Linked DNA regions of Xenopus tropicalis. The protein of the gene in region 7 interacts with the protein of the main gene of each other region in a pairwise test. Links are inferred from orthologs where the notes say so. Each region holds a gene or a part of one and is shown on either strand. Other genes may lie near its edges. The genes, in order: sh3rf2, phactr3, aatk, sncaip, tor1aip1, ppp1r9b and ppp1ca.

Evidence for each region.
Region 1: the proteins of ppp1ca (region 7) and sh3rf2 interact in binary tests that used the Homo sapiens proteins (3 or more experiments, as listed by UniProt). The link is inferred for Xenopus tropicalis from reciprocal best matches to the Homo sapiens genes PPP1CA and SH3RF2.
Region 2: the proteins of ppp1ca (region 7) and phactr3 interact in a two-hybrid assay, tested with the Homo sapiens proteins (2 studies listed by BioGRID and IntAct). The link is inferred for Xenopus tropicalis from reciprocal best matches to the Homo sapiens genes PPP1CA and PHACTR3.
Region 3: the proteins of ppp1ca (region 7) and aatk interact in binary tests that used the Homo sapiens proteins (3 or more experiments, as listed by UniProt). The link is inferred for Xenopus tropicalis from reciprocal best matches to the Homo sapiens genes PPP1CA and AATK.
Region 4: the proteins of ppp1ca (region 7) and sncaip interact in a two-hybrid assay, tested with the Homo sapiens proteins (2 studies listed by BioGRID and IntAct). The link is inferred for Xenopus tropicalis from reciprocal best matches to the Homo sapiens genes PPP1CA and SNCAIP.
Region 5: the proteins of ppp1ca (region 7) and tor1aip1 interact in a two-hybrid assay, tested with the Homo sapiens proteins (2 studies listed by BioGRID and IntAct). The link is inferred for Xenopus tropicalis from reciprocal best matches to the Homo sapiens genes PPP1CA and TOR1AIP1.
Region 6: the proteins of ppp1ca (region 7) and ppp1r9b interact in binary tests that used the Homo sapiens proteins (3 or more experiments, as listed by UniProt). The link is inferred for Xenopus tropicalis from reciprocal best matches to the Homo sapiens genes PPP1CA and PPP1R9B.

What each region holds. Positions count from the first base shown.
Region 1 is NC_030679.2:39,625,394-39,628,893, reverse strand, and holds part of sh3rf2 (E3 ubiquitin-protein ligase SH3RF2), read right to left. Parts: intron 3,492-3,500; 5' UTR 3,442-3,491; coding exon 3,064-3,441; intron 1-3,063. UniProt on the Homo sapiens protein: Has E3 ubiquitin-protein ligase activity. Acts as an anti-apoptotic regulator of the JNK pathway by ubiquitinating and promoting the degradation of SH3RF1, a scaffold protein that is required for pro-apoptotic JNK activation.
Region 2 is NC_030686.2:3,418,816-3,422,315, reverse strand, and holds part of phactr3 (phosphatase and actin regulator 3), read right to left. Parts: intron 3,138-3,500; coding exon 2,979-3,137; intron 1-2,978.
Region 3 is NC_030686.2:26,681,854-26,685,353, reverse strand, and holds part of aatk (serine/threonine-protein kinase LMTK1), read right to left. Parts: intron 2,687-3,500; coding exon 1-2,686. UniProt on the Homo sapiens protein: May be involved in neuronal differentiation.
Region 4 is NC_030677.2:169,743,172-169,747,216, forward strand, and holds the start of sncaip (synphilin-1), read right to left. Parts: upstream 2,801-4,045; 5' UTR 2,678-2,800; intron 1-2,677. UniProt on the Homo sapiens protein: Isoform 2 inhibits the ubiquitin ligase activity of SIAH1 and inhibits proteasomal degradation of target proteins. Isoform 2 inhibits autoubiquitination and proteasomal degradation of SIAH1, and thereby increases cellular levels of SIAH.
Region 5 is NC_030680.2:101,249,751-101,253,835, forward strand, and holds the start of tor1aip1 (torsin-1A-interacting protein 1), read right to left. Parts: upstream 2,801-4,085; 5' UTR 2,536-2,800; coding exon 2,502-2,535; exon of another isoform or gene 2,498-2,501; intron 2,451-2,497; exon of another isoform or gene 2,341-2,450; intron 1,527-2,340; coding exon 1,482-1,526; intron 857-1,481; coding exon of another isoform or gene 854-856; coding exon 812-853; intron 1-811. UniProt on the Homo sapiens protein: Required for nuclear membrane integrity. Induces TOR1A and TOR1B ATPase activity and is required for their location on the nuclear membrane. Binds to A- and B-type lamins. Possible role in membrane attachment and assembly of the nuclear lamina.
Region 6 is NC_030686.2:18,323,232-18,326,731, reverse strand, and holds part of ppp1r9b (neurabin-2), read right to left. Parts: intron 3,457-3,500; coding exon 3,227-3,456; intron 119-3,226; coding exon 22-118; intron 1-21. UniProt on the Homo sapiens protein: Seems to act as a scaffold protein in multiple signaling pathways. Modulates excitatory synaptic transmission and dendritic spine morphology. Binds to actin filaments (F-actin) and shows cross-linking activity. Binds along the sides of the F-actin.
Region 7 is NC_030685.2:492,457-494,965, forward strand, and holds part of ppp1ca (protein phosphatase 1, catalytic subunit, alpha isozyme), read left to right. Parts: intron 1-54; coding exon 55-186; intron 187-265; coding exon 266-496; intron 497-571; coding exon 572-676; intron 677-1,894; coding exon 1,895-2,118; intron 2,119-2,509. UniProt on the Homo sapiens protein: Protein phosphatase that associates with over 200 regulatory proteins to form highly specific holoenzymes which dephosphorylate hundreds of biological targets.

The DNA.
Region 1 (3,500 bases), on a different chromosome or scaffold from region 7:
TGGCAGCAGCTGCCTTTGAAGATAGTTAATAATGCTGGCAGTGGTTCTTTTAACAATAAAGGGATTGGTTAAAGTGACTATGGATAATCTTTTCCCCCTTTATTTTAAAGTAAGCACTGCCCACGTTGTTAGGGTTAATTATATGTTCACATTAAATATAATCCTGATTGAAATTTGATGATGTCTTGAAAACACCAGACACAAAGCTTCATCATATACCATCTAAATCTCAGTTTCCAGTTAACCGTAAGAACTAGATGCATTTTCTGTTGGCATAAATACAAGAAGAACTATTCCCAGCTGCAGCTGCTGAGAAGCACTGAGGCTGGGTGGTGGAGTTATATGCTAGCTTGGCACAGAAACAAGATCAGAGTCAAACTTCCAGCTTAAAAGAAGCACAAGTGTTGGGGCGGCGGGTGGTTGGCATGTTACAACATATACTTCATTTATTCAGACTTTAGGCAAGCGTTTTGGTATTGTGTTTGGTATCGATGATTGCATTGTTACATAGTTATCTACAAAGTTTAACCCTTAATGAAACCAACTTGGCACCACATATCCAGAGGAAAGCATGTATACTCTTTAGGTAGTCAAAACATTGTTTACTGACAGACTACTAACTGATGGTAAAAGCAGAAAGTATTTTCCATCCAAGAGCCACCAGAGAGAAGAATACTGTATGCCAGTGATCCCCAACCAGTGGCTCAGGAGCAATATATTGCTTAACAACCCCTTGGATGTTGCTCCAAGAGACCTCAAAGCATGTGCTTATTTTCGAATTTATGGCTTAGAGACAAGTTTTGGTTGCATAAAACCCAGGTGTACTGTCAGAGTCTTCTTTAGGCTGCCAGTCCATGTAGGGGCTACCAAATAGCCAATAACAACCCCCTAGGTACATTTTTCATGCTTGTGTTGCTCCCCAACACTTTATAAATTTGAATATGTCTCACAGGTAAAAAAAAGCTTGGAGACCTCTGCTGTATGCAAAGGAGATGTAATCATAAACTTAAAAAAAGGAGAGTTCGTGCTCTGGCTGTTGGCAATTAACAGTTTCTCAGGTGTTTGCCTAGTAGTAAAAGTTTCATCACAGAGCAGCTTGCTCACATCAACCAATACAATTTCTACTTTAAAAATCCTCCTTTGCCCCGTCAGAACTTTATAGAAACACCTTGCCGGGTGCCAAATGGTATATGATAACCTTGTGATAGGATGAACAATTTCATCCAGTGCCACTTGCCGTTGGAACAGAATCTGGCTGTGAATACAACATGTAAGTGAATAAGGTTATAAATATTTGCCTGTGTGTTAAAAAGAAAGAAATTTAAAAGGATAATTACAAGGTTTTGATTGCTTCCTGACAATACAGATGACAAAAAAGATATACAATTGGCTGTGTGTGCATCTGCTGTGCCACACCTGCATTGAACCCAGGATAAGTTACGATTAAAGAAGTTTGCTCTTCTGGAGAAGAAAATCAGATAAAATGAAATGGCCCCATCAGCCAACTAATGGACAGAGTTCTGTCTTTTCTCCCACACTACTTCCTGTTACAGTCAGAGCTGCATTATTTCCTGTCAGGTGATCTCTGAGGGAGCACACAGCCCATCACTTAATGGCGGCTCAAATGTTTACTGATATATATATTCCAATTTGGTAAGATTGTATGATATAATCTGTTGGCTAAGTATTTATTCTAGGGATATAGTCCTTCTTTAACACTTTTGCACTTCCACATACATGCTTTGCAGTTAAGGGCTCTCCTCTGCACTGGCAACTTTTGTGGCCGGTGCAGAGAGTCAGATGTGCCCCCAACACATTGAGCTAGGGAGCTGCCAAGTCAGTGACACAATTGTTGCACGACCTGACTTCTATTTTTGTGCATAACATAATTGATGCTTCATTTATATTGATTGATGTTTGTATTTATATTACGGAAAAAACACGTTTTCCTTCATTTTTAGACACTTAGAAGCCTATATCTTGTTACAGAAGTGGAATTCACAAAAATTCTGTTTTCCAAGGTAAACTAAAATTACCCCTAGGAAAGGCCCCTAAAGTGAAAAATGTTAAAAAATGGTCAGACAGTAAAAGTACCTCCATGACCGGCTGGCAGTTAAAGAGTATTATAAATGTATATGTATAAATGTATTGCAGCATTTTACCAGGCTACTTTTTAAAAATCTTATTGGTAGCTATGGGTTACTAGACCTGGAATAAACTTTGCACTTTTTATTACATGACATAAATGGAAAAAAACATGCCCTAGGTATGTATAAAATGCAATATTTTAAGTATCAAATACAAAACAATGCCTATTTTTTTCTTAAATTAGGATTTGGAAGAGCATCTGGTGCATTATACCAAGCCATATGTTCTGCTGACTTCTTAAATAGTTATTTAGACCCTTAGGTAAAATGTTGATTTAGAGCTAATAATACCCAATCTCAAGACATATCCCTTATGCAGATGATCAAGATTTATGAGCAGTCATCATGAATCCGTGATTATCCCTGTTGTGTGATAACAGGATAAAAAAAGCCGCATTGAATTGACATTCAGCGCTGAGCGTTCTTGCATAAATGCACTGTGATTTTTTTTCATTAATTCATCTAATGCAAGCAACATGGAAGCGACATATGGATTTTAACCTCTTATTGAAAAAATATGTATGACTTAATGTCGATGACTTACACGTCTCAATATCGATGATGTTGAGACATGTAAAAGGTGCTTTTATAAGATGTAATATTATTCTGGTTTCTGCCGTCTTATGCAAGACAAGATTTCACAACCATATAGACAAAACAACCTTTACCATTTCATATCAATCACTTAAATTGTGGCAGTGGAGGTATCACCCATCCCCTTCCCACTGAAAGAAATCAGAAAAAGCCCTATAACTGCACTAGGAAATTACTCTAAACTGCGTAGCTTTACTATCTGTAATATTATGTAGCTATTCTTGCTTTTTATTGTAGCTATGTAGCTATTCTGGTGTTTTATTTAGAATGCCATATGGTTTCACCCACTTAATTATAGAGAAATTACAGCCTATTTTCTTACCCCATCTACAGGCATCCTGGCCTTGGAAATGGTCCTACTTGTAGAATCCTGGCTTGCTCTGTTTGCTTTGCTCTTCTTTAAAGAATCTTGGGCAAAGAGTCCCCCCATCCTCCGTGAGGAGTTTCTTCTCAGAAGGGTTTGCCCACCTCTCAAGCCATCTAGTATTCGTACTAATAATAAGTTGGCTGGCAGCTCTTCAATGCTGCATTGTACAGGGGTCCTGCATTCTGGGCATTTCAGTTCCTTTTTGGCTTTAAATAGTCTCTGCAGACAAGGCTGGCAAAAGGTATGTTGGCATGGCAGCACCTTGGCATTAACATCCAATTTTCCAAGGCATAAGGGGCAATCCAGGAGGTCAAGAACAACCAATTCATCCATCTTATTCGAAATATGCAGTTAAACCAAAGATGATGAAGGCTTCATAGTCACTAAAACAA
Region 2 (3,500 bases), on a different chromosome or scaffold from region 7:
GAAATAGAAAACAATGATGGGATTAACTTCCCCTTGAAAGTGGGTGAAATGGAAACCAATGATGGAATTGACTTCCCCTTGAAAGTGGGTGAAATAGAAAACAATGATGGTATTAACTTCCCCTTGAAAGTGGGTGAAATAGAAAACAATGATGAGATTAACTTCCCCTTGAAAGTGGGTGAAATAGAAAACAATGATGGGATTAACTTCCCCTTGAAAGTGAGTGAAATAGAAAACAATGATGGGATTAACTTCCCCTTGAAAGTGAGTGAAATAGAAAACAATGATGGAATTGACTTCCCCTTGAAAGTGAGTGAAATAGAAAACAATGATGGGATTAACTTCCCCTTGAAAGTGAGTGAAATAGAAAACAATGATGGGATTAACTTCCCCTTGAAAGTGAGTGAAATAGAAAACAATGATGGGATTAACTTCCCCTTGAAAGTGGGTGAAATAGAAAACAATGATGGAATTGACTTCCCCTTGAAAGTGAGTGAAATAGAAAACAATGATGGGATTAATTTCCCCTTGAAAGTGGGTGAAATAGAAACAATGATGGGATTAACTTCCCCTTGAAAGTGAGTGAAATAGAAAACAATGATGGGATTAACTTCCCCTTGAAAGTGGGTGAAATAGAAAACAATGATGGGATTAACTTCCCCTTGAAAGTGAGTGAAATAGAAAACAATGATGGGATTAACTTCCCCTTGAAAGTGGGTGAAATAGAAAACAATGATGGAATTGACTTCCCCTTGAAAGTGGGTGAAATAGAAAACAATGATGGGATTAATTTCCCCTTGAAAGTGGGTGAAATAGAAACAATGATGGGATTAACTTCCCCTTGAAAGTGAGTGAAATAGAAAACAATGATGGGATTAACTTCCCCTTGAAAGTGGGTGAAATAGAAAACAATGATGGGATTAACTTCCCCTTGAAAGTGAGTGAAATGGAAACCAATGGTGGGATTAACTTCCCCTTGAAAGTGGGTGAAATAGAAAACAATGATGGGATTAACTTCCCCTTGAAAGTGGGTGAAATAGAAAACAATGATGGGATTAATTTCCCCTTGAAAGTGGGTGAAATAGAAAACAATGATGGGATTAACTTCCCCTTGAAAGTGAGTGAAATGGAAACCAATGGTGGGATTAACTTCCCCTTGAAAGTGGGTGAAATAGAAAACAATGATGGGATTAACTTCCCCTTGAAAGTGGGTGAAATAGAAAACAATGATGGGATTAACTTCCCCTTGAAAGTGAGTGAAATAGAAAACAATGATGGGATTAATTTCCCCTTGAAAGTGGGTGAAATAGAAAACAATGATGGGATTAACTTCCCCTTGAAAGTGAGTGAAATGGAAACCAATGGTGGGATTAACTTCCCCTTGAAAGTGGGTGAAATAGAAAACAATGATGGGATTAACTTCCCCTTGAAAGTGGGTTAAATAGAAAACAATGATGGGATTAACTTCCCCTTGAAAGTGGGTGAAATAGAAAACAATGATGGGATTAATTTCCCCTTGAAAGTGAGTAAAATAGAAAACAATGATGGGATTAACTTCCCCTTGAAAGTGGGTGAAATAGAAAACAATGATGGGATTAACTTCCCCTTGAAAGTGAGTGAAATAGAAAACAATGATGGAATTGACTTCCCCTTGAAAGTGGGTGAAATAGAAAACAATGATGGGATTGACTTCCCCTTGAAAGTGAGTGAAATAGAAAACAATGATGGAATTGACTTCCCCTTGAAAGTGGGTGAAATAGAAAACAATGATGGAATTAATTTCCCCTTGAAAGTGGGTGAAATAGAAACAATGATGGGATTAACTTCCCCTTGAAAGTGAGTGAAATAGAAAACAATGATGGGATTAACTTCCCCTTGAAAGTGGGTGAAATAGAAAACAATGATGGGATTAATTTCCCCTTGAAAGTGGGTGAAATAGAAAACAATGATGGGATTAACTTCCCCTTGAAAGTGGGTGAAATAGAAAACAATGATGGGATTAACTTCCCCTTGAAAGTGAGTGAAATAGAAAACAATGATGGGATTAACTTCCCCTTGAAAGTGGGTGAAATAGAAAACAATGATGGGATTAATTTCCCCTTGAAAGTGGGTGAAATAGAAAACAATGATGGGATTAACTTCCCCTTGAAAGTGAGTGAAATAGAAAACAATGATGGGATTAATTTCCCCTTGAAAGTGGGTGAAATAGAAAACAATGATGGGATTAACTTCCCCTTGAAAGTGAGTGAAATGGAAACCAATGGTGGGATTAATTTCCCCTTGAAAGTGGGTGAAATAGAAAACAATGATGGGATTAACTTCCCCTTGAAAGTGAGTGAAATGGAAACCAATGGTGGGATTAACTTCCCCTTGAAAGTGAGTGAAATAGAAAACAATGATGGGATTAACTTCCCCTTGAAAGTGAGTGAAATAGAAAACAATGATGGGATTAACTTCCCCTTGAAAGTGGGTGAAATAGAAAACAATGATGGGATTGACTTCCCCTTGAAAGTGGGTGAAATAGAAAACAATGAGGGGATTAACTTCCCCTTGAAAGTGTGTGAAATAGAAAACAATGATTGGATTAACTTCCCCTTGAAAGTGTGTGAAATAGAAAACAATGATGGAATTGACTTCCCCTTGAAAGTGAGTGAAATGGAAACCAATGATGGGATTAACTTCCCCTTGAAAGTGAGTGAAATGGAAACCAATGATGGGATTAACTTCCCCTTGAAAGTGAGTGAAATGGAAACCAATGATGGGATTAACTTCCCCTTGAAAGTGAGTGAAATGGAAACCAATGATGGGATTAACTTCCCCTTGAAAGTGAGTGAAATGGAAACCAATGATGGGATTTCCCCGTGAGAATGAGCCCCTAAGCGTCAAGTGCTAATGTCAGTGGAAGAATGAGTAAAGGGTAAGTAAACCTGCCCATTGGTTAGCTGTACAGTGGGGATGGGGATTATTCCAGTTCTTACCCGTCGTTTGCTTCAATTTCTCATTCTTTTTTTTCCTCCACTTCCAGGGCTTGAAGATCCGGCCCAGTGTGGCCAACTTGCTGTTCCGCCGGGCGGGGGGCGTGCGAGTCCCTGAGAGCACGTATTCTGCGCGCAGCGCCGGGGACTGGGCCATCTCCTCTGGGAGAGAAGGAACAAACTGGGAGTGAAACGCAGACCAGTTCCCTTCAGCCTCCATCTCTCTATGTCTCCGTATCCCACGGCAACCGCAGGCTGCTGAGAGTCGGAGCACAGCAATGACCAGAGACTACTCCTGCAGCAGAACTATACCCAATGCTCTGCCCCAATCAGGAACAACCAGCTAATCAGCTGCCATGGTGCACTTTAAAGGGCAACTCCACCCAAAAGCAGGGTTTATTCCCAATATACATAGAGGGACAGGGGGAGAGCTGATACAGCGGGGCAACATGGCAGCACCGAGGTCAGAGTGTGGAATTATGGGATAGGTTTCTGTAATCTTCTCTCTGCCCCTTAATTACTGAG
Region 3 (3,500 bases), on a different chromosome or scaffold from region 7:
GCCATGCTCTTCCTCACTTTCCTCGCTGTGTTCCTGGATGTTATAGCACCTGAGTTCTTCATCAGACTCATCACTATCTTCACTTTCTTCATCATCCTCTTCATCCAAAGAATCTCCACCTTTACCATCTTTACGAGGAAGAGGAGGGGAAAGGCATTTTGTAACGTGGTGAGTACTCAGAGTGTCCTTGTTGCAAGAAATCACCTTTTCTTCCATTTGAAGGCCAGTAGTGAGGGTGATACTACCCAGAGTCCCTTGCTTAACAGTGCATTCTTTTGTCAGGCACAACTGAACTGGTGACAGTGTGAAGGTCCTGTGTGAAGATGACTCTACAGATGAAGGCAAAGGAGAAAGTTTTTCAACAGAGTGTTCTTTCTGACATTCAAGACCTAGCCCTTCATCCACTGAGTCTTGCCTCACCATGAGCTGGGGCTGAACTAATAAACAGTCTTTTGGCACAGGTAGAGAAGGTAGAGGTGAACTGTTATCTGGGATTTCCTGGTGCTGAGAAGTTACTGAACCCTTTGTATCAGTTTTTGTATCATCAGAACACTTTTCTAGATTGCAGTCCTGAATCTCCAAAGAATCTTTTTCCTTAGTCACCCCATCTAGTTCTTGATCACCATCAACTTCTTCTTCTTCCCGGGTAAACGACTCATAGTCAGAAAAGTATGCAGAGTCTCTGTATGGATTCTTGGCATCCAAGCCTTGTAGATCACTGCTTACTGATCTAGATATTGGCATTTCTTCTGACCCAAGACCAGTTTCATGATTTCCCTGGCAATAAGTATCAGATTCTCTGCTATCTGTAGGTTCTTTCAGTACAAATTCTGGTGACTCATAGTTTTCAGTATCATAGCCACTATCTAGAGCTTTGTGCTGCCCACAGGGGGTGTATGTTCCGAGGCTGAAGGCCTCACATGAACTGGCAGTGGAAGGCATATCCAGAGAGTCCAAAGAATCTGGAGTGCCAACCTGCTTCTGAAGAGATCTAAAAGTTTGAACAATATCGCCCCTTTCACTGGAAAGATCAGTAAAGACCCCAGAGGTAATCTCCATTGTGTCTTCATCATCACTCTGATATAAATCTGTAGGGAAGGATTCCTCAGGGCTTTCCCTTTCTTTGATGGGTGAAATACATTGACCACTGAATTCATCTGTCAATATCGGTGAACAGATCTCTTGAGAAACATAGTCCCCTTCTTTGGATATATTAAGAGAATGCATGGCTTCTGGTTGTGCAGGGGCAGTACAGTACCCTATTATACTAGCACCAAGTGGATCAGTTTCATGCTCAGACTCTCTGTCAGCATTAGTTTGATGCTCCATAGTAGAAAGAAGGGGTTCTATATATTCTGTGTTCTGGGTTATTTTTAGGTCACTCAATTTTGCTTCTAAAGGCGTTAAAGATATGTCAAGGGTTTTTCCTAACCAATCTTTGAATTTCTCACCATCAACCAAAGTTTTATCATGGCATTCTAACTCTGCCAAACATCCTGTAGGCTCTCCTTCCCCTGATTCCATGTTCTGCCAAGATTCAGGACCATAGGGTTCTTTGTCGACTTTCTGGGAATCGCCAGAACGGCGATTGCACCAGGATGCAGAACTGAAGTCAAGAGGAGTAGTGGAGATATTGTTGTTTGAGGAGATGTTTGATGCCCAGTGGGGGGAAAAGGCCACTAAGTGAGAGGTCACAGTAGGTAGATCTTCCTGAAATTCATTATACTGTTGGGTTTCTCCTTCATTTTCAAGTTTCAGTGTTACAGAATCTACTTGTGTTTCACAAACATTAGATCGTGTATCTTCAGATTCCGAATTCTTTAAAAATGCCACTTGTGCTGAGCCTAAGCTAGCCTGACAAAGCTGCTTCAAATTTGGAGCGACCCCTAGGGGGTCCAAAAATGCAACTGAGCAACATTCTTCTTCTTGTGAGGGTTCTTTCACATGAATCTCTTCTGATGTATCAGCCATTTCAGAACACTCATAGCTTTTCTCTAGAACCTTGTCCTGTTTATTACTGCAGATTGTTTCATCAGTTAAAGGCTCCATAGATAAAGAAATAGAAGGGCTATTGTCACTTAGATCCTCCTCAGTATTCTCCTTTTCTTGTATAGGGTATTCTCCATATTGTGGGCTGCAGTTTTGGTTAACATTGCTGCTTAAAGGTTCTTCAATACGAATATAATAATCTCCTGCCACTGATGGGCTGTGAGCACTAAGAACTGGAACTACCTCAAGTGGACAAGGACCAGAATTTCCCTCCTTACTTTCATAGCACGATGGAGATACTCCTAGACTCAGCCTGTCCCCAGTACTTGAAGTAAAGTACATGTCTTGGTATGCCGGGCAGCCTGGATTTAGAGGGTACTGTTCATGTTTGCCACTCTCCCATTTGTATTCAAAATTTAGTCCCTGACTAGTCTGAGTAACAGTTAGCACATCATCACCATCAGTGTGAAATCCATCAGAGGAAAAGTGCTCGAGCAGTGGGTATGAAGAGAGTTCAGTCTCGTGATGACTACCGCTGCCTGTGCCACCAGTAGGCTTCATAGAATTCCACCGTTTCTCAAACTCCTCCTCCAGCTCGCTGGTTCCTTTCACAGTCAGATAAGAAAGCAGAAGATGTACCTCCTCTGCAGTTGGTCTCTGCTCAGGTTGTAGCCAGCAAAACTGCATTACCTCAAACCTAGAATATAATACATAATTAAATTACTATCATGAGGCTTTACTTCGTATTGTAAAAAAAAACACAATTTAACATTAAAAAATGTGCCTGGTTTGTAATACATTGTGCACAGCAGAGGTTTTCAAACGGTAGGCATAGCCCACCTAGCAGGCCCAGCCTTGAGCCAAATTTGGGTAAGATCTGGGAAGAGTATTTAGTCGCTGTGCTGCAAGCTACTAGAACTATTGAAGGGAGTCTCTTACAATAATGTTATATATCTGACTTTATGAGTTAATGTTATGCTGTATTTCCCTATGGCAAGATTCCCCCACCACAGTTACATTTCAGAATCCACCTCCCTATATTCTACATTGGACACAGGACATTCTGTAACACATCATGGAATCACATTCTAGTACAGTATTAATGATAATAATGTTTTCAGCTCATACTGCAACTGTATAAAATGATGCTACATTTCCATGTGTCAGCTGTCAATATGCCAAGATGGAATACACCATCTTTAGATTTCTGCTCTCTGAAAAGTACTTCCCAAACTGGGAGACTGCTCTTCCTGACAAGACAGAGAGTGGCTAATAGGATACTCTGCTTAAAATGCAGTTAGGTTGCGAATTGAGGTAAAGGTTTATTTTGATAACCTGGGTGTGCCTGAATCTACAGCAGTGTGACTACTAAAGCACTATAACCTTCTAAACAAATGGGACATATTCACTATTGAGCATCTATTGGAATGCAGTTGATGCTGATGAACGTGGCGTAAGTAAATGTACAATTGGACTCACTGTGTGCCACTTTATTCTACTTAATGCACTGG
Region 4 (4,045 bases), on a different chromosome or scaffold from region 7:
CATAAGGGGAGTCTGCAGCCAGGTGTTCAGTCCCATTGCAAACATGTAAAATTGAGAAAACTCTTTCAAATATGCACATTGCTTATAACTGCAAATTTGTCAGCAGCATGTAGTAAATGTCACACCCACCGGGGATAATCTCTTGGTACATATAAACTGCATGTTTGCAAAATGACTCTTTCTTTGGAGTAAATAATTTTAATTAAAAGGCATCTTTGACTGGGGTTTAAAAACAAGAGCTACATAGTAACATAGTAAGTTGGGTTGAAAAAAGACATACGTCCATCACGTTCAACCATAATTACCACTATTATTTATTTCAGCAGTTAAACTACAACTCTCAGCATCCCTGACAGCATTCTTCTGCTGGTGGGAGCTTTGAGCTGTATAATTATTGAAAGGCTGAAAGATGGGTGCCACTTACAGAAGGTACTACTGCCACCACCTTACCCTTCTTTACCTGCTGTATACAACAACAGTCCCTTCCATACACTTTTCCCCCTAGTGCTGTTTGGGTGGTGTTGCATTATCATGCCTGCTACTAATGATGCCTGCACACTCAAAAGCTGAATATGTTGTATGTTTCTGAGATTTCTCATACTCAGGTTGGTCACTCCTGCTTGAACCCCTAAGGAGAGAACTCTTAGTGGCAACGCAATTATGTTTGGGGATGGTTATTCTCTGACACTGTTAATATGCTATCTAGACCAGAGCTGTGCAACCTATGGCCTATCAGCTGTTGCAGAACCTGGCTGTGTGAGGATGATGGGAATAAATCAGAGCTGAAGGCCTGAAAGCCCTTGATCTAGATTGAAATTTGCTTTTAAAACGAATTCCACTCTCTGTTTTGCTGCTGTACACAGTGATAATACTGGGATATATATCATTCTAGAGTTTTGTGGAACCGTGTAGCCCAAAATATTGGGGTTCACAACTAAACTGAGAAAGACAAGAGCAGAATTTCCTATAAAGCAGAGTGCCTCACAGTACAGCTAAACAGTACCATAATGAGCACCAGAATTCCAGCTCCTGCGGCACTCCTAATCCCAGGCATGCATACCCTTGTAGCATTTATTAATAGCAATCTGATACCTGCAATTGCTTGCATGTGAGTTATATGGTTATTTTTCAGCCTACTCGCCAAGTTAGGTTATTCTTTCAAATGTCAAGCCGCACATGAAATATGTCCATTTAAATTGCTTTCTTTAAAATCCTCTGTGCTCTTCTAGAGCTTCTTTAGCAGTCCTTCAATAAATGAAATGAGGCAGACTGCAATAGGTCTCCTGGTTAACCCCATGTGGTACAATGGAGCTTCAGAAATCCAACTGATGGTATCAATATCGACCCCCCCCCCATAAAAAATACCAGTAGTGATTTCATTTAGTGCCATATTGCTTATTCACAAAGGCTACTCCAACTCCCACCATCCCCTGACAGCTATCCCACAACACATTATGGGGGGCAGGCACTAAACATTAGAAATCATTGATGAAAAACATGCGAGGAAAGACAGCGCAGCATTCCAAACCTGGAAATAGGGAACAATGTGGTTTCAGAGCAGGATCAAGTCTCACTGAGGAGAAACATACGCTACCAAGGGAAAAAAAGGTATCCGAATGTATACAGAACATCCTGTCACACAAGGCATTCTGTACCATGGAATGGCAAGGTGCCACAACTGGAGTCATTCATCTCCCCAGCAGCATGGGGTCAGAGCTCGGAGGTACATCAGATAAGAACCCCTGAGGGAGTGTGTTGGGATGAAGTGAGCCCTCTAATTGGAATAAAGTGAGCTCTCTGACAGCGCCTTTAAGAGCAACGTCCCCCAGCCGAGCAAACAATACAAAGGGCACAGTACCTTTTCTGCATCAGCTGTGTACAGTGCTCTATTGTAATCTTGTCGTTTGCTATCCCTTTGTTCTAAGGCAAAGTAAAATGCAAATCATAACAATTACTTCAGTGATGCCATTGTAGCAGGGCACAGCATTATCAAAGCCCTGATTTGGTGCAAGGTTGCTTTAAATAATGGTATTCTTCAGTTTTTGGGCTGGTATGTTGCTCACATGACATCATAAATAGCACAATATCTTTGTCATACATGGGCTTCATATTCATTTAGCACGGTTAAAACTAAAGGCTGGTATGGGAGCAGAAATGCATAATATGGGGCCCTCCAGCTTCTGTTGGACTCCATCTCCCAGAATCCCCTGACAGTCATGCATTGGATTATGGTACCCCCCAGGCTTGGGTATTTCATGGTATTCAGTGTTACACATAATGTCTTCTTTACAACCTAGACAGCACTGCAAGCCAGGCTGCCACCATCTATAGTAGCCAACAGACACTTTGGAAGATAAATCAATGATGGCCAGTAAAATCACATCCTGGCTATGAAGATAATGAGATTCAGCGTGCAGTACCCCAGTACATTGTAGCCTTTCTGAAAGGAGCAGCACAAAAGGAACAGGCACCGTTACTATAGATACAATTAGCATCTGCTCCCCAGACAAAAAGTCCCTTCCCTCAGTGAGGGATGCAGAGAAGCGGTACTACAGCGCTACCCATCATCCTGTCAATAGGATCCCGGCAAATAGGTAACAGCCCGTCACTCCTGGAATGTACCACCTCTCTTAGAGTCCCCTTTTTTCCATTCTGCCAAAGCAAACTTTCATCTTACCTTTGCCTTGCCTGGACCTGTCTCCTGTATTCACCTTGTGCAAAAGCCTTGTCCACTGGCAGTCCCGGCACTCCAGTACAGTAAGCAGAAATGCAATGAAAACGGCCTCCCATACAGCGGCAGCCTTACACACACATATGGGCCTGCCTCATAGGCACATAGGGTTAACTGTGGCAGAAAGGCCACACCTCCAGCGGCTGATTGGGTTCAGCTGTGGAATAGAAACCTGAGCCAGGGCTAGCCACTCCCTATTAGGTCAATAGCACGGCCCTGCTTCTTAGCAATGAGGCGTCGAGCTATTGCAGAAAGGCAGAGCTGGGGAGCTGCTGGGAGCGCTGAGGGAAGGTGCGCAGCAGGGTTGCAGCACTGACCCGCTTTTATTAGTGACCGCATTGTAATTGTGTCCTGCAGTACCGCCACTATCGGGACGTGAAGCCTGTCTGTAATGCTCCTTCAGCTAAGCAACAATGAAAAGACTCATCAGGTTGTGCTGGGAAGAGATTCCCTCATAAGGGTGTATTAAAACCATCAGCATGCAGTGCAAAGCATATAGGCATACATTTCCCTGATTTTACCTTTTCTAGGATCTTACACCATTTTTTCTGGTCCACTGAAAAACGTAAAATTGGGGTTGTACGGTGTTATGTTCCGTATGGGTTTTGCAGAGTGATGCTATGTATATGTATTGTAACATCGAAGGAAAACACAACTCTTGATATGTTAGTAATGCCAGTGTAACCTGGCAGTATCACAGCTTTGACTGGGTGCAGGGACACTATAATAAATATGGTGCATAGTTTATTTTTTACAAAGCTTTGCAAGAAATTGGATGGCATGTGGCGGTTGCGCACAGAGTGACTTCTGACTTTTTGGTGAAAATCTACAAAAAAAATCTACAGATCTAAGCATTCAATGTAGTAGAGGGTAAGCTTACCAGTATATTAGGTTGGTCCAGGTGCTCATGCCCCAGGCCCTCAGCATAAGGGAGTCCTTATTGGAGAAAAGAAAATGCAAAGCAGGCAAGGCACTCCAGAATCATAGTTGAAGAACTCAGGTATAGAGTAAAATCATTGTAACTTAATTAGTTATATTACATAAATGCTATAAAGCCTTTATGACTTTTTGGTGCCCATGATTTTCAGTAGCTCTGCAGGAGGTGATAGGAAACCACTGCTTGCTATGGCAATAGTCTCACAGGCTTTGTCAGTCAACTGTAGATTGGAATGCCTTTTTAGAGCAGGATCAAGTATCACTACCAGCACATATGTCTCTGCCTCTGACTGCCTTGGCCCTACCTACAACTTAATACACTGACATTACAGACACCTCCCTGAACAGTGCCCACTGCTTCTCTGTAATGCACCTTCA
Region 5 (4,085 bases), on a different chromosome or scaffold from region 7:
CCAGCCCTGCTTGCAACCACTTTTCCATTCTTTTACCTTTCTTTGTACTCTTTTTACTTCTACATATATTTTATCTCTGCATCTGTTCTCTTCTTTCCTCCCCCTTTCCTGCTGTGCTTTCCTATATTTTTATTATTTCTCCTACCTGTTTATCTTTTCTCCTTTCCATTACTTCTCCATTTTGATTTCCTTAGCTTGTTACTCATTATTAACTTCTAATTCTTTTCCCCTCATTATCCAAGGTTATGCTTGTCTACTTTTTTTTTCTCTTCTCTGTCTACTCATTTATTTCCTCCAGCACATCCCGCATCTTGCATTTCATTTACCCTTGCTAAGCAACAATACACTATAATGATTGATCCAATTTACCTGTCCTGATCTAGCAAGTAATAAAAAGCTTGACACAGCAGCTACCAATCTGTGCTTCTCTGCCTACAGCAATTAGTAGTGCAGGAAGATTAGATTGCTCAGCGCTGCAGGTAAAAAAGAACACAGCCCAAAGTAGCTGCTACAAAAAAGTTTCTATTATTCTGTGGCTAAGTGCAGGCAGATCAGATTTGTGCTGCTCAAAGTCGACAAGTGAAAACCCAATCCAACAGGGAATGTTAAAGGTTAAGGCCATCAGGTGGGGAATGTTTACCATATCATAGTTTACCAGGGACCAGCATTCTGAAAGTCAGTTCATTAGGGATTCATATAAGGATTGATAGGAACCTTACTATAAGCTTTAAAAATAAAATCAAAAGCAGAGTTCTACCTCATTTTGTATAGCCAGAAGCAATAAAAAAAATTTTGTGACCAAATATTTTACCTCGATTGGAAGACCTGATTGAATTTCTTGTCAACTTCATGTCTGCTGCAAATAGGAGAGAAAGGGAGAACCAGCATAATTATAACATTTCACTTACAGGGAGATTTATCTAACCCAAAATTATCTAATACTCTCCTAAAACATTTCTCAGAATTCATGAATTCTAAAAAATAAAATATATGGGGCAGTTCCCAATATAGGGACTTAGAATGTGGTGATCATTGTAGGGATGAAGTGTGATGCACTTTTAAGTCAAAAAGAACCTGGTGTCATGCTGCATGACACATCCCTAAAGATATCTAACCATAGGGCAGGAATAGACACACATGGCACTCTCAATGCTATAAAACAGGGGTCCTCAAACTTTTAAACAGGGGCCAGTTCATGGTCCCTCAGACTTTTGGGGGGCTGGAATATAGTCTCTAGTCTATAACCCACCCCACAAACTACAGCCTGCTCCAGCTCCCTGCTGAGTCCTCAAACTATGGCCCACTCTCACTGCCTGCTCCCATCTGCGTCCTAAAACTATGGCCTGCTCTAACATTCTCCCTCTCCCGGCTCCCCCACTCCCTCTCCCATCTCCCCACTGTGTCCTCCCGCTCCTTGCTGCGTTCTCGTGTCACGTCACCGCGATGAGGCAGACATATTTAGATCCTGAAATCTGCATTACCTAAAAAAGGTGCTTCTTCCTCATCATTTCTTGAGACATAAGCATCTAGAGAAAAGACATAAACAGTAATAGAAGAATAACATTTCTGTTTTATATATTTCTGTATCTTATCTAAAATTAAGAGACAGTGGCGTAACAAATTTGTGCTTGGCCCCCAGCAAAGAATCTTCGGAAGGGCTCAGCACACTACCCTTGCTCCCCAGGGTAGATAAGATAGCAGCTGGGGATTGGGGGATTTCTGACAACTATAGATGAAACAGACACTGCAGTCTGCGCCCCCTGCTTCCTCTATAGGTTCTGTTTTTATTAGCCCACAACTCTGGTGATGAAACGAATTCATTAAAAAAGGCTGGTGCGTCTTGTTGCCCCAAATCCACAATTTTTTGGGTTGGTTAAATACTGAATCCTCCACAAAAGAATAATCTGTATGCAGAAGAGAATGCAACCCCTAATTTGCTTAAACAAATTTAAGTAAAATGTAAAAACCGCATTGGTTTGTCCTAAATACTGTCAAATAGAAATCCTTCAAAAAGTGCTAGGATTCAGGGCTAACATCAGAATTTCACTTTTGCTTCTGGGGCTACTTGCAGGTGTAACAGGAGCCACCTCTGACATACCCCCAGATAAAAGCAAACTATATAGAAATAAATATTGATTTGACAGGGCCCCAGCAAAGACTATAACGTTTACAGCTGAACCTGCCCCCCCCCCCCTACAGTGATAAATAGGACAAATAGCGAATTAATAAATTATTAAGACTGTGTATATGATCCTCGGTATCTACTAATTCTCATATACACAGTCTTAGAAAGATCAGATCGTAAAAAGCAGATATAATACATTCATAATCGCTTCATACAAAAGCATTTAAAATGGATTGAAAGCGCGGGCTGACAACTTCTTTCGCTTTCGATTCTATAAAGCGAACTCCTTCTGGGCCTCTGCCGTGACCCAACTAATACAATTTATGAACGCGTTTAGGGAGTGTATCTTCTCCTGTCTGGGGCTTGGCTTACCTACCGGTGTTGGTTGTTTTACCTCCGTGAACGCTCATTGTTGACGACTGTCCTTAGCTATGACACCGTTGACCACGATAAAATCACTTTACTTGATGCGGAACCACTCCAACTTAACCCACGTTTCCGACGGTAAACTATGACTGACGCACCACAACGTTTAGCGAAGCCGATGCAGGAAGAGGGTAGCTGCTAGTTCCTAGTTGCGAACGGCCGCAAGTGACGTCATAAAACGTGAAGACGTAATGATGTCTCCGTTACGTGGGTGTAGCTGGAGGAAGCCGCAGGGGAGTCAGAGGAAGTTTCTGAGGGGGCTGGGGTGTTGGAGGAAGCCGCAGGGGAGCCAGAGGAAGTCTCTGGGGGGGCTGGGGTGTTGGAGGAAGCCGCAGGGGAGCCAGAGGAAGTCTCTGGGGGGGCTGGGGTGTTGGAGGAAGCCACAGGGGAGCTAGAGGAAGTCGCTGGGGGTGGGGCTGGAGGAAGCCCCAGGGAACCAGAGGAAGTCACTGGGGGTGGGGTGTTGGAGGAAGCCGAAGTGGAGCCAGAGGAAGTCGCTGGGGGGGCTGGGGTGTTGGAGGAAGCCGCAGGGGAGCCAGAGGAAGTCTCTGGGGGGGCTGGGGTGTTGGAGGAAGCCGCAGGGGAGCCAGAGGAAGTCTCTGGGGGGGCTGGGGTGTTGGAGGAAGCCACAGGGGAGCTAGAGGAAGTCGCTGGGGGTGGGGCTGGAGGAAGCCCCAGGGAACCAGAGGAAGTCACTGGGGGTGGGGTGTTGGAGGAAGCCGCAGTGGAGCCAGAGGAAGTCTCTGGGGGGGGGGGCTGGAGGAAGTTGCTGGGGGGGCTGGAGGAAGCCACAGGGGAGCCAGAGGAATTCGCTGGGGGGGGGGGCTGAAGGAAGCTACAGGGGAGCCAGAGCAAGTTGCTGGGGGGGGGCTGGAGAAAGCTGAAGGGGAGCCAAAGGAAGTCGCTGGGGTGTTGGAGGCAGCCGCAGGGGAGCCAGAGGAAGTCGCTGGGGGGGCTGGAGGAAGCCACAGGGGAGCCAGAGGAAGTCGCTGGGGGAGGGGCTGGAGGAAAGCGCAGGGGAGCTAGAGGAAGTCGCTGGGGGTGGGGCTGGAGGAAGCCCCAGGGAACCAGAGGAAGTCACTGGGGGTGGGGTGTTGGAGGAAGCCGCAGTGGAGCCAGAGGAAGTCGCTGGGGGGGCTGGGGTGTTGGAGGAAGCCACAGGGGAGCCAGAGGAAGTCTCTGGGGGGGCTGGGGTGTTGGAGGAAGCCGCAGGGGAGCCAGAGGAAGTCTCTGGGGGGGCTGGGGTGTTGGAGGAAGCCACAGGGGAGCTAGAGGAAGTCGCTGGGGGTGGGGCTGGAGGAAGCCCCAGGGAACCAGAGGAAGTCACTGGGGGTGGGGTGTTGGAGGAAGCCGCAGTGGAGCCAGAGGAAGTCTCTGGGGGGGGGGGGCTGGAGGAAGTTGCTGGGGGGCTGGAGGAAGCCACAGGGGAGCCAGAGGAATTCGCTGGGGGGGGGGGGCTGAAGGAAGCTACAGGGGAGCCAGAGCAAGTCGCTGGGGGGGGCTGGAGAAAGCTGAAGGGGAGCCAAAGGAAGTC
Region 6 (3,500 bases), on a different chromosome or scaffold from region 7:
TGAAGGAAGCCAGAGACGCACCTTCTCTTGTAGCCTCTGAATCTCTGTAGCATGTGCAGTTTCAACCTCCTCCAGTGTCTGTTTCTGCATTTCTTCTTTCTTCAGGAAGTCCAGCTCCCTGTGGGCAAAAGGGTGGCAACCTTTATAGATAGCATAAATGAGTGAATATATTGGAAATGTAGAGCTGGTACATTTGGCAGGAGGGTGATATAGAGCCAGTGAGGGGGAAGCCATGGGGGTGAAGGATGAAAAAGCTGGTGGATAAATAGAAATCAAGATAATATCTGAGTGATGTTCAGTGGGAGGACAAGGGGTAGGAAGGAGTGGAACGAAGCATGCGAAGAGAACACAGAGGTGGAAAATAAGTGGTTTATGTGATGCATTAGTGTCAGTATGTGAGAATATAGAAAAGAGCTCAAGTGGTTGCTGGGAAGGACTGTCAATAAGAAACAATTAAAGGGAGAAAAGATTTAGTAAAGGCACTTGGGTGCGAGGGCGGTGGTGATTATATAGGTGGTAGAGAGTAGGCAGAAAGGATTAGGCATGTGGTTGAGAAAGAAAACAAATGTTGGTATAGGGAATAAAGACTGACTGCGTAAAACAAATTAAAAAAATGGGCAGAAATACAAATTTGATGAAAGAGGAAAGCAACAATGTATGGGAAGATGGTAGGAGCCAGACAATGGGTGACTGTAGAGAAAACACAAGGATACAGGTATTATGCAATTTGAACTACCTGATTAGGGTTGGAGGTGGATATATAGGAGATGCAATTTGGTTGGGAACAGGTCATAGTTTAGAGACCTAACTGTATGGATAAGAAGATGGAAGGGGTTACACAAGATAGAGGAAACAGGTGGATGAATAACAAAAACAGAAGGGAAAAGAGAGATGATAGATAGATAGATACAGTAGATAGATAGATATGAGGATGGTTTGACGGAAGAAAACTTGCCTCATGCTTTCCTGTGTGTGCCTCTGTTTTTGAAAGCCTTGAGTACATCCTTGTGACCCACATTTTGTGCCATTATGTGAGCATATTCCTGATCTATTACAGATTTATTCTGTATTTAATGACCTTCTGGTTTTGATTTCTGGCCTGTAATTGTGACTTGTCTATTTGCTTGCCGCCTGCCCTGACCATTGACTTATTATTTGAATTTGTCTTCCTCCTGCCCTGACTTCTGGCCTGTATTTGAACTTGTGTATTTGCCTGCTCTGTCTTTTTTCAATAACTTCAATATAACTTACTATGTTACTATGTTACTAGGAGCACTGGCCCGGAGTATCAGGTAAGTGGTTACAATCACTGGGTGTGCCTAACATTTGGAACCCCCCATCGTATCTTTCCTTCTACTTTAACATATTCAGGATCCATTAGAATTCATGAAGCCCCTTTCCAATTCATGAGAAGTTATTAACAATTAAGAAAGAAGCATATAGTTGTAGCAAAGAAATTAATAATTCCTTAATTTATAATGAGGATTGGAAATGGTGGTTCTGTAGATATGTGACTTATGTTGTGCTCCTTGCCATCCCTGCAGGAAACACCCACTCTGTTGTCAGTCGCACTGAGCCAAAATTGCACATTTTGCTCTCCTTCCCTGCTGCTCCTATCCACCCCTCATTCTTTTTTTAAACAGATAGCAGAAGCGGGGTTATTTTAGGGAGCAGGGATATTCTGGATTTCCTGACTGACTCATCTGTAACAGGCTGGGTATTTATCACAGTAGCATCATATAACTAGGCATGCTGCTCTTCTCTTGGGCCCCCCCGTATTAGATCTGATCCCACAGTGTGAACTGATCCCATCTGCTTCTCTTTAAGATGCATGATATTCACTCAGTCTGCAGTGTGAAGATACCTTACCTTAGTGATAATACACACCCTTTATTGCTATCCTCATTTATAACTTACTCAGCCTATGCCACTGCTTAGGGGAGCCATGTTTTTGGGCTGTTGTATTTGCATGGCCGGGCTGCTTTTTAAGGCAGCTTTAAGCTTTGTTGCAACCTGGACATGAACCTAGTAGGTGATTTGAAAATGGTGACCAATATTTGGTTCCAACCAAAATCCCTACTATACTTGTTATATAATCCATCTAGTGGTCTTACATACATGCTGCTGTTCTATTACACTCTATACATAATGCCAATGCTGTATGGCACTAGTGGCCAGGTTAAGACCAATGCTTTATGGGGATTATTGCTGAACTCCAGAAGGTCACAGAGCTGACCTGTAGTTATAAGCAACTATATTCTATTCAGATCTACAGAACCCCATGGGGGGGCAGCACACACACAGACCAAGGCTCAGAGCGCCAGTCGCACTTAGAGCTGTGAGTAGACAGGAAAAACATGAAACTTTTATTCTTCCAGTCTCTGATATAAAGTACACATATCCACTAAGGAAAGCATGGTTAGCAAGAAGGGGGTTGCTGGGAACCAGCAACTGGAACAGGCCAGGATTCACAGGAAGCTCATCCTTATATTAAGACTAACACCTTTCACAGAAAAATAAGGTTTTTGTCCCTCATTTCCTGTAACGACCTAAGCTGCCCCTGTGGATGGAGGTTGTTCACATTCATGCCTTATATGTACATCATGGTTTTCTAGTACAGCAACTGCAAAGTGTCCAAGAACAACTTAATACTAAAGGGTAATTTCAAAGGGTGTATGTCTAAATGCTGAACCAGGCAAAAAAGCCAATGTTAATTTTTGTGGGTTCTAGCTTGCTGCATTGGATATAATAAAAAGGATCATAAGGATGGATCTCTAACATTAAACTGCCACACCCCTAGTCAGCCTTGAACAGTTGCAGAGCTGTCAACCAACCCCATGTCATGAGGGTTGGCAGATACTGCAACTGTTATTTGTCAACACGATATTACCAAATAATTCCTGTAGAAACTATGTTATTTTACAGATATTTGCAGTGTACTGCTCTCCAGGCTGCTCACATTATGCCTACCCACACATACTTTATATTTATGCCTGAAGAAGTTTGATTAGCTACCAAGCCTCATCAATGGATGGGCAGAGATACTAAGCTGTGGTCATATATCAAAGAAAGAACCAAGTATAAAAAATATGAAAAGAAGGTTAATGAATAATAGAAAATAAGCAAATCAGTAAGGAAAGAAAGAGAAATTATATGTAGGTGAATAAATAAGAGAAAGCCTGAATGCAAGTACATTGGTAGGTTTCATCTGGGTTTCTGGACTTACTTTTGCTGATAGTCCTTGATGAGTCTTTTTGCTTTGCCATACTTGCGTTCCAGTCCCTGGTGCTGAGCTTGCGTCTCCTTTAAATGCTCATCCACTGCTTGGCACAAATTCTGAGCCTCCATCCAATACCCCTGTAGTTTCTCCACACGTTCCCTATTCTCCTGAACACTTTGCTGCAACTGAGCCTTCTCCATCCTCCAACGAGAACGTTCCTGTTCAAGACCTGCCAGCTACAAGAAGAAAGTTGACAATAAGACAATGAGCAATCTGGGTT
Region 7 (2,509 bases):
TAACGGGGCCCCCCCTCCCCAGTTCCTGACTGGCCTGTTCCTCCCCCCCTACAGTTAAAGGCTGCCGCCCTGGGAAGAATGTTCAGCTGACGGAGAATGAGATCCGGGGGCTGTGCCTGAAGTCCCGCGAGATCTTCCTCAGCCAGCCAATCCTGTTGGAGCTGGAGGCCCCGCTGAAGATCTGCGGTGAGTAGGGCCCTGGGTGCCGAGGCTCCGCCTCTGTGTGTAGCTGCGGATCTGATTGGCTTCCCTCTCCTCCCCCCAGGGGATGTGCACGGTCAGTACTACGACCTGCTGCGCCTGTTTGAGTATGGGGGCTTCCCCCCCGAGAGTAACTACCTGTTCCTGGGGGATTACGTGGATCGGGGGAAGCAGTCGCTGGAGACCATCTGCCTGCTGCTCGCCTACAAGATCAAGTACCCCGAGAACTTCTTCCTGCTGCGCGGGAACCACGAGTGCGCCAGCATCAACCGCATCTACGGCTTCTACGATGAGTGTACGCGGGGGCGGGGCCAGGCTGTAACCCACGGTAACCAGTGCGCTCCCTAATGCCCTCTGTCTCCCCCTGCAGGTAAGCGGCGCTACAACATTAAGCTGTGGAAAACCTTCACCGACTGCTTCAACTGCCTGCCCGTGGCCGCCATCGTGGATGAGAAGATCTTCTGCTGCCACGGGGGTGAGTTCCCTGCTGCCCCCATCCCTCAGGGCTCGTCTGGGCAGCCCAAATGGGGTGAATACACACCCCACACCTTCTTAGCCAGTGTGCCCCCCCCCCGGGAGCCCCAAACCTTATACTGTACAGCCAGTGTGCCCCCCCCCGGGAGCCCCACACCTTCTTATACTGTACAGCCAGTGTGCCCCCCCCCCCGGGAGCCCCACACCTTCTTGTACTGTACAGCCAGTGTGCCCCCCCCGGGAGCCCCACACCTTCTTATACTGCACAGCCGGTGTGCCCCCCCCCGGGAGCCCCACACCTTCTTGTACTGTACAGCCAGTGTGCTCCCCCCGGGAACCCCACACCTTCTTATACTGTACAGCCAGTGTGCCCCCCCCGGGAGCCCCACACCTTCTTGTACTGTACAGCCAGTGTGCCCCCCCCCCCGGGAGCCCCACACCTTCTTGTACTGTACAGCCAGTGTGCCCCCCCCGGGAGCCCCAAACCTTATACTGTACAGCCAGTGTGCCCCCACCGGGAGCCCCAAACCTTATACTGTACAGCCAGTGTGCCCCCCCCCGGGAGCCCCAAACCTTATACTGTACAGCCAGTGTGCCCCCCCGGGAACCCCACACCTTATACTGTACAGCCAGTGTTCCCCCCCCCGGGAGCCCCACACCTTATACTGTACAGCCGGTGTGCCCCCCCGGGAGCCCCACATCATCTTATACTGTACAGCCAGTGTGCCCCCCCGGGAACCCCACACCTTCTTATACTGTACAGCCAGTGTGCCCCCCCATGGAGCCCCACACCTTCTTGTACTGTACAGCCAGTGTGCCCCCCCGGGAACCCCACACCTTCTTATACTGTACAGCTAGTGTGCCCCCCCATGGAGCCCCACACCTTCTTATACTGTACAGCCAGTGTGCCCCCCGGGAACCCCACACCTTCTTATACTGTACAGCCAGTGTGCCCCCCCCATGGAGCCCACACCTTCTTGTATTGTACAGCCAGTGTGCCCCCCCGGGAACCCCACACCTTCTTATACTGTACAGCTAGTGTGCCCCCCCATGGAGCCCCACACCTTCTTGTATTGTACAGCCAGTGTGCCCCCCCGGGAACCCCACACCTTCTTATACTGTACAGCTAGTGTGCCCCCCCGGTATACAGTTGTGCCTACTCTGGATCCATCAGAACCTGCCCCCCCCCCCCCCACTCACATCCCCATTTGTGTTTCAGGCCTCTCCCCCGACCTACAGTCCATGGAGCAAGTCAGACGGATCCTGCGTCCCACCGATGTACCGGACCAGGGGCTCCTGTGTGACCTGTTGTGGTCGGACCCGGACAAAGATGTGCTTGGGTGGGGGGAGAACGACCGCGGGGTCTCCTTCACCTTTGGGGCTGATGTAGTAGCAAAATTTCTTCACAAACATGACCTTGACCTCATCTGCCGAGCTCACCAGGTACGTCTGCTCCGCCCATTCCTTACTCCTCTCCCACCCCAGGTATGTCTGCTCCGCCCATTCCCACCCCACGGTACGTCTGCTCCGCCCATTCCTTACTCCTCTCCCACCCCAGGTATGTCTGCTCCGCCCATTCCTTACTCCTCTCCCACCCCAGGTATGTCTGCTCCGCCCATTCCTTACTCCTCTCCCACCCCAGGTACGTCTGCTCCGCCCATTCCTTACTCCTCTCCCACCCCAGGTACGTCTGCTCCGCCCATTCCTTACTCCTCTCCCACCCCAGGTATGTCTGCTCCGCCCATTCCTTACTCCTCTCCCACCCCAGGTATGTCTGCTCCGCCCATTCCCACCCCACGGTACGTCTGCTCCGCCCATTCCTTACTCCTCTCCC